Linked DNA regions of Oryzias latipes. The protein of the gene in region 2 binds, or shares a complex with, the protein of the main gene of each other region. Links are inferred from orthologs where the notes say so. Each region holds a gene or a part of one and is shown on either strand. Other genes may lie near its edges.

What was found.
Region 1: cnot9 (region 2) and CCR4-NOT transcription complex subunit 6 share a complex: the UniProt entries of both Homo sapiens proteins name them as parts of the CCR4-NOT complex. The link is inferred for Oryzias latipes from reciprocal best matches to the Homo sapiens genes CNOT9 and CNOT6.

What each region holds. Positions count from the first base shown.
Region 1 is NC_019868.2:16,555,556-16,559,375, reverse strand, and holds part of CCR4-NOT transcription complex subunit 6, read right to left. Parts: intron 3,492-3,820; coding exon 3,289-3,491; intron 3,196-3,288; coding exon 2,980-3,195; 3' UTR 1-2,979. UniProt on the Homo sapiens protein: Poly(A) nuclease with 3'-5' RNase activity.
Region 2 is NC_019879.2:16,425,431-16,429,866, forward strand, and holds the start of cnot9 (CCR4-NOT transcription complex subunit 9), read right to left. Parts: upstream 2,871-4,436; 5' UTR 2,511-2,870; coding exon 2,493-2,510; intron 2,021-2,492; coding exon 1,835-2,020; intron 1,691-1,834; coding exon 1,575-1,690; intron 1,148-1,574; coding exon 1,038-1,147; intron 911-1,037; coding exon 801-910; intron 609-800; coding exon 510-608; intron 1-509. Other genes in the region: usp37 (ubiquitin carboxyl-terminal hydrolase 37), read left to right, coding at 3,989-4,162. UniProt on the Homo sapiens protein: Component of the CCR4-NOT complex which is one of the major cellular mRNA deadenylases and is linked to various cellular processes including bulk mRNA degradation, miRNA-mediated repression, translational repression during translational initiation and general transcription regulation.

The DNA.
Region 1 (3,820 bases), on a different chromosome or scaffold from region 2:
TTTGTGTGTGGGGTAGGGGTGTGTTAAAAACGATGCGTCAAAGAATTCATGATTTGCACATCAACAACACAATCCAACATCTTTTAGAAAGGAAACATGAGATACATCTTTTATTCACACTTTACAAAAAAAGCTACCCCTTTAAATCTACTACAATACTAATGCCATTCAAGAAACAAAATGTCAAAATTGAACACATTGGTTACCGCTGGGGTGCGCCGGGGGGGGGGGGGGGGGGGGGGGGGGGGGCAATTAAAACAACATAATAAAGGAAGTTAGAGAGGGGCCAATTGATTATTTTTCCTGTAGATTTGCTTCTTTCCTGCATTAAAAATGCAACAGAATTCATTTTTAGTGGTTAATATGGGAGGAATGAGGAAAGCCGTTTCTGAATTTGATAAGTGCTCATCATCCACATGAGCGTTCAAACGATTACGCTGCTGCTCACAGACTTCACTTGGATTTTCAGAATAAGACAAACTGGATTTGCAGCGACGTGTTGACAGGAAAGCTCACTGACCCTCACCCTTTTTTCTTTTTAAAGTTTTCCCCCCACAAAGAGTAAAGGAAAAGTGGGCCTTTCCACCTTTTACCAACACAGAGGTAGGGGGCTCCACAAATGGCACTATAGCTGCAGTGACAAGAGTAGAAAACCTATACAAAGTGGTTGGGTGGGGGGCGTTACAAAGACGATGGGTGGTTTGGTGGGTGGGACGCGTGGCCAGGAAGGAAGCCGGGGGCTGGGATGGGGGTGGGGGGTGGGAGCAGTGCTTTAGGTACAAAGAGGGAGCACAGCAATCAAAGGGGGAGTTTAGAAGACGCCCCCACGACTCATGTTCCTTACAGAGAGGGTCAGTGGACAAAGCATACCTGATTATTAGAGAGGTCAATGGACAGAGTTTATGTGTGTATATATATATATATATATATATATATATATTCATATATGTATATATAACATTGTCACGTCTCATAAAAAAGGAAACATTAACAAAAAAAAAAGAAAGGACAAAATCTTCACAAATGTCTCAACAGTATTTAAAAATAAGAGAAAAGGTTGTTGAGGCGTTCGCCGCTTATAAATAGTGCAAGACAAAGTCAACTGCTACAGCGAGGCACGATGTACATTGGTGGAGGGGGGGGGGGGGGGGGGGGGGGCTGGGTGTATATCGACCACTTAAATGATGAAGAGATGGTACTCGTCCTCGGATGTCACTTTGACCAAACTACTGGCGACGAGGCGAAAAGACAAAGAAATGGCGTCGTTAATGGATAAGAAGCAACAGGCAGAATTTCCTTGCTGCCCATTTTACATCATAGCAAAGAGTCGGCGAATCAAACAAGGGTCAAAAGAGAGGGGTGGGGGATGGGGGGGGGACTGAAGTTACAGTCAATGTTTAGGGAGTGCAAAGTAGTGGCAGCGAATGCCTGCAACAACCTCTTCTTACGTCTTTTGTACAAGCTGGTAATATCAATTCATCTCAACATCAACTGGATAAAAATTTAGCCTTAGTTTACAATACAATCTTTTTTTTCTTTTTCAAATTTGACCATAATTTACTCTTTGTACAAAAAACGCCAGAAAACAGGTCTTTTGTGGTTCATATACAATCATGTAAAGACTGAGTCTAGGTTTCTATTCTGTACAAAGACTTGTGGAAAAAAAAAAAGGAAACCAAGAACCCACTGCTTCTGTGAACGGAACGCATGGCTGGGGGGGGGAGAAAAGTCACTACAGGCCTTGGAGACAGTGCTACAGAATCTGCCCGTGAGAGATCTTGGTGTATGCGAGTGCATGTACGCTTGCATGTTTGGAGTAGGACGGCAACTCCCGACAGTGAGAAGGATGCTGGTTTTACTCCGGTGTGTCCATCTCTGCCTAAAAAGCAATCACAACCCATAAAGGGCGTGATGGCTCCCCGATGGACCAGCCAATCAGCCGAATCCCTTGCTCCTTCCAGGAAATAAAAAAAAAAAAAAAAAGGCGATACACAGGCCACATAAGCTCCTAGCACAAGAATAACCTAACAACTACACAAGCAGGGGGTGAAATAGTCTGCAGAACAGATAGCAGCTGCGCTCAGTTTCTCCCATCTTTCTTTAAAGCTACATGGCGTCGGTGAAATCGGACAAATGTAAGCTAAGGGTTCTGGTTCTCCGGGCTTCTTGTGGGGTTAATGTGCCGGGGCTGGGAGGCATAGACTGTCTTGTAGCACCACAAGAGGCCATGACCTCATAAAAGGCCTCAGCACCACAGCACGACAGCAGGAAAAAAAAAACCCCAACACACGCACACACACACAAAAGCGAGCTGCATCACTCCAGAGAAACCCCTCGAAAAGCTGCTCTAAAACCCCAAACACAAGAACGTTGTTTCCGTGTCCCCCCCCCGAGAGGGGTGCACCATGGACCCGAAGGACAAGAAGAAGCCAGCGGTGCAGGTCTGAAAGGGATGGGTCTGCTGTCTTTGCTGGTTTTAGGTTTATACAGAACAGACAGACCGGCAGACCTTCAGCTCTCAAGCTTTTCACTTAAAATGTCCTTTTTTTTTCAGCAACATTAACCTTTCCTCTAACTCCAAAACATCACAGCACAACATATGAGAGGAAGCCGAAAGAGCCACCATCCTCTGCAGTCTGAGACAGAAGCAAAGCAGGTGGGAGGGGCGGGGGTGGATTTGACAAGGAGGGGGAGTCCAATACACAAAATATGATACACAAACAGGGCTGAATCAAGCAGTTAAAAAAGAACATAAAAAGAAAAACAAAGAAAAATATAGAGTATCTATACGAAATCCCTGTCAGCCAGACCTCACTGTACGAATATTTTACAGGTTTTTTGTATGTGTGTGTGTGTGTGTGGATTTGTGTAGGTGTCTTTCTCCTCCAGCGTGCTGGAGGGAAGAGCTGGTACAGGGAGGGAGCAGAACTGAGAGGGAGGTGTGGTTGCAGCTCCCCCTAGTGGTATGGCAGGGTCTAACTACCTGCGCGCAGGCAGGTGAAGCCCATTGACCTGGGAGGGTATGTTGGGCAGGAGCAACTCCAGTTGAGCAAAGAGGGAGAAGTGGTCGGAGGGGATGTGGGGGTGGGGGCAGCCGGTGACATTGTTTTCTACAAGCCAGTGGGGATCCAGCGGTCCCAGGATTCCCAGCACGTTCAGGTGAGGCTTGGAGTAGAAAATGTAGTCGATGACACCCTAAGGGGGAGGTACATTAAATTAGTATATACATTTGCACCATTTTTGAAAGGCGTTTAAAGCTTTTTTTCCCCCTGCAGCTTCAGGTGTTACCTTAAAGTCAAAGGTGTAGTTGGTATAAGGCATCAGGCCATTCTCATAGGCGCTCTTCAGCTTGAAGCCGTGGGTGATCCTGCCATTCGACGTGCTGTTCTTGCCGTTGCAGTTAAATTTGGTCAGGCAGTCACTATAACGGAGCTCTTTGAAGTCCTTATGGGTGCAGTCCACTCCACCAGTACTCAGGTATTCCACTACACCTAGAGTAGGGGTAAAAAAAATAGATTCAGTCAAAGCCTGGGCTTCTCCGTTTCCAGTACCACACAGAGTCCCTCACTCATGCAACTGGATCTTTACAAAGGGGCTTCAATAAAAGTTGATTATACCAGCTTTTGTATTTTGTATTTGGTTCTTTAGTGTTTTACAGTGAAACAAAAAGTACTAAACAGTCCCTGAATCTGCAAGTTTTTTCACTGAAAAGATGATTTTGATCTGTAATGTTAATTGCATATTCACTTCAACTGTGAGTGAGGTAAAGAAAAAAGAATCAAGGAAATCCAGTTTACTTTTTTAAAGAATTCATTTGTAA
Region 2 (4,436 bases):
AAAAAAAAAAAAAAAAAAAAAAAAAAAAAAAAAAAATCCTCGAGCTGTCCTGTTGGACCTCTGCGGGCTTTTGGGGGTATGTCACCCGGTGCATCTGGCGCGTCGGTGTTCCCCCTGCGCCTCAGTCACCACACCACTTAAAAGGGATTCCCCAATTATTACCGCCAGTCTCTCATCAAGAGAGGTCAGCTCAGGCTGTCATTGCCAACAAAGGGTTTTCCACCAAATATTAGTAATGACCATTTTGTTTTCAGTTATTTAATTTGTCCAATTACTTAGGAGCCCAAGAAATGAAGGGATTGTGTTTAAAAAATGCTTTAGTTTTTCACATTTTTATACAATCTTTTTGTTCAACCAAGGCTGAAAGTCTGCACTTCAATGGCATCTGAGTTGATCTGAGAGACACGTTAGAAAAAACGTGTCTCTGTCCAAATATTTATGGTCTTGACTGTACATCTTTATCACAACAATGCTATAGGTGCACAACACAAAAATCCTAAAATACTTACAAGAATCATGGCGACATGGGAAAAACGTTCATAAGTCTGACATATGTAAGCCAACCCAGTGTCATCCAGCAGGATCTTTTGCAGTATGAAAGTAGCAACCTGATAAAAAAAAAAGAATTATAGTCAATGGTAGAAACATGAGTTAAATTCATACCATAGATAAATGCATGAGAGTAGGTTTTAGAAAACCAAAACCCAAATCTGTTAACACATATTTTGAATGTTTGACTCCAAAATCCATTTTTTTCTTCCTGCTTGATAAAAACTGCTTTTGATTTCATTGGTAATTACCGTCTTGGAGAGTTCACTTCCAGATTCCATGATGCGAAGACAGAGTGGGATGATTTCCGTAGTAAGAAGGAAGTTTATCACTTCTTGTTCATCGGTTTTCACCAATGCACCTGTCAAGAACACACAAACAAATCAAGATCTGACATAAACAGAATTATCAGAGCAATACCTAAAAGAGAAGACTTTTTAAATTAAAAGTAAAATCAACAAAAACATGATCTCAGCAGGAGAAATTACCTATGACTCCTAGACTGGTAAGTCGCAGGTACTCAAATGGACGCGTTTTACTCACAGTGTGCAGAAAAGGGTAAAGGAAAAGAGGAATATGGGCAGCTAGAAATGCTGACCTGGTGTGGACAAAACAAATAAAATCATATTAATCAATGTAACACATTAAACCTTGCAAATGGAAATAAGTTCGTTTTTTTTTTTAAATTATAGTGAATTGAGGAATTACATAACAAAACCTTAATATTAAACAATTTATTTAGACCATGGCCTTAATAAAAATGAAAATACTATATTTATTATCTTTTAACCGCTTTAAACTGAAGATCTGCAAAGGCTAAATGCTGGAAAAATCCACTATTCTGTATGATGTATGTATTAAAAGTGACTGATGACTGTTACTTTTTAAACAAATAATAAACAAATAAATAAAACAGATTGTGGTCTGTTACCCCTTTAAAACATTATAAGAGCAGTTAATTATTAGAATTACTAAAAATAAAAAATAAAAATCTGATTTTTCAGTAACAATAACTATCTTGTTACCGTGTCTCTGGATGTGAGGCAACACACTGCAAAAGTGCCAGGGCATTACACACTCTATTTGACTGGTGGGCTGTAAGGGTTGGTGGGTTAATAGACGGATAGATGTTTACTATTTCCTGAAAAAAAAAAAAAGGAGGACAATTTAATTAACAAAAGGAGTTGTTTAACACCACTACAAAAATAAAGACCATACAAGAGGCACAGATGCACAAACAGTCCCAATGGGATGACCTGTGTCAAATGAACAGGTGGACCAATACCTGCAACAGGGCAGCAATGGTGCCACATGAATGCCAGAGCATTGGGGCCAAGTCTGGCACGGATTCTCGCTTCTTGCTGAGCTCCAGCAAAGCATTCTCTCTAGTCTCTGGACTGGACAACTCATTGATCCACTGGTAAATCTTCTCACGGTCTACTTGGGCCAGGGCTGTGACGTTGGTTACAGCCTTTGATAGGAAGAAAATATCAATCCATTCGCAATCAATTCTTTAAACAAGCAAACAAACGAAACACTCAAGAACAAAAACATTACGCTAATTAAGATATATGTAACCTACGTTTAATTTCCCCCTTCTGCAAACCCAAATCATGAAGAGGAAATGACAGCGTGTAAATTTGTTAAATGTCTGCTATGACAAATTGGGGCAAAATCAAATTATTTGTCAATTTAACTACAAAAACGTCTCATGATTTGCCAACTGCAATACATGTATACCAAAACCATACTGTACTACATTTGTACGAGGCTTTCATTAATATTATGCAGTCTTTCTTTGAAAACTGCAAAGAGAAGTTCTGCTTTAAAATTAATTCAATAAAGAAAGCTGAAATTTGGGAGGAAAAAAAAGATTTTCGATGTACTTAGGCGAAATTGGAGGGAACGTCACCGTGAGAGCGATGCAATAGTTTGATACTCACCGCTCCCGTTGCCAACATTTTGGAAAGCTTTTCGGGATCTCAAAATACTCTTTTAATAGAAAGTTCGTCAGTTTGCACCTCTTCGCAATACTCGACCCTGAAATCTCACCGTAAGAACCATGGACATATGCTTACGAACTGCTAGCTTAGCTAGTTGCTAGGTGCTCTAACAAATGGGATCCACAACATGCGTAACTTCACATAACTTCAATCGAAATCCCAACACTGAGAACTACAGAAGCACAAAAAGAAATTATTGTCGTTATAGTATCAATAAACCAAGTTTACACTGGCATTTTTTTCAATCTCGCGTTTGATTTTTTTTCCTCGGCAGGGACAACTTCGCTACAAACAACGTCTCAGATATCGCGAGAGGAGAACGGAGCGCAATCTCGTTCATCATTTCCGTTGTAAATGTTCCCATTCCCGCCATCATCGCCCGTTGCTGTGAGGCGTAGTGTGCTGCTCTACTTGCAGCAAACATACAGAACAGCAGGTGAATGCCGGCAAAACCTTTTTTATGCTCTCGAAGGATCTGCGAAGTCAAGTCCACATTCTATAGGTTTGGAACCACCACCGTGATCCTAGACAGGTAATGAAATGACGATGGCACTGAATGTGGTTGTTTTCATCACCAAATTACTGTGTTAGCTAGCTCCCGCTAGCTTAGGAACCAGTGTTGCTAATGTGGGCCTCTTCCATCATATTAAGCGTCTGTTAAAGAAACAAAAACGCCACTGCATGCTTCACATTTAATATTAGATTCATGTTATTCGACTAGTTCGTTGATAGACTGATATTTTTGTTTATATCGTTTGAATCTATGGTTCTGGCCGCGCCACGAGCATCACAACGCAGCTCAAAATGTGTTGCTTCTCCTCTGCAACATTGGAGTTGTCAGTGTTTGTTGTTTAAATGCAGGCTCTACACAAACATGTTTAAAACTAAAATTCAATGACCGTTCAGGATATGCAGTTTGTTATATTTTGTGATTTTTGTGGTGCAGTAATTCATATTGTACTGTTATGCTAACTTGTCACTTTGGATTATGAAGTCCTACCTTTTTCCTTTACTTCAAACCGCATTTGCCATGTTGGCTACGTATCTACATATCTCATATTAGTTTTGTTTCTGTATCTTTTATTTATTTATTATTATAATTTTGAATAACACATTTCAAGTTTTTAGCAAATGTTATTGTTGGCTACAAATTAAATCACTTATAATCTTCAGAATGGCACGTCGGTGCTGCATGTTCTGTAAAAAAAACAATATAGCAAACTAGTTACAAAAATACTAACTTCTTGTTATGTGGCATTTAGCAATGGTAAAAATATTCATTTAAACTGTTTATTTGGTTAAATAGCAATAGCAGTCATAAAAGTGAGGTTGTTTTTGCCATTATAGGCTACCCGTGTGACTATTTCTTGACATGTTTATTTCTTTTGTACATCTTAAATTCAGACCTAACAAGTGGACCATCAGGATAGCAAGCCATGTCAACTTTTGTGCCCAAACTCTCCAGTGGTAGCACTGTCAAGATTCGCTTTAACACCATTGAGCTGGGCGGCACCAAGTGGAAAGAGGGAACCTTTGAAATTTTGGAAAAGGATAACAGAGTTAATCTCTGTTTAAGGTTCAGCTGTGGTGGCGCTGCCAAAACTTTCCAGGTAATTTCTCTTTAATGTATTTTATCTGTATGCTTGTTGGTGTTGTGACAGATATTTAGCATTAGGCATGATGTTTCTGTCATCCCTACTTAGACATTTTTTTAAATTAGTGTAATTTATTCCATTTTGGATAGAACTACACCTATTATTTTATCTCAATTAAAAATTTCAAGCACATCATATGTTGCTGGAGGAAGTTAAATTTCCGTAAATTCAGGTGAACACCTTGCTTGTTTACTTACTGCCACTAAGGGGTGTATTTTCACATCAGCAA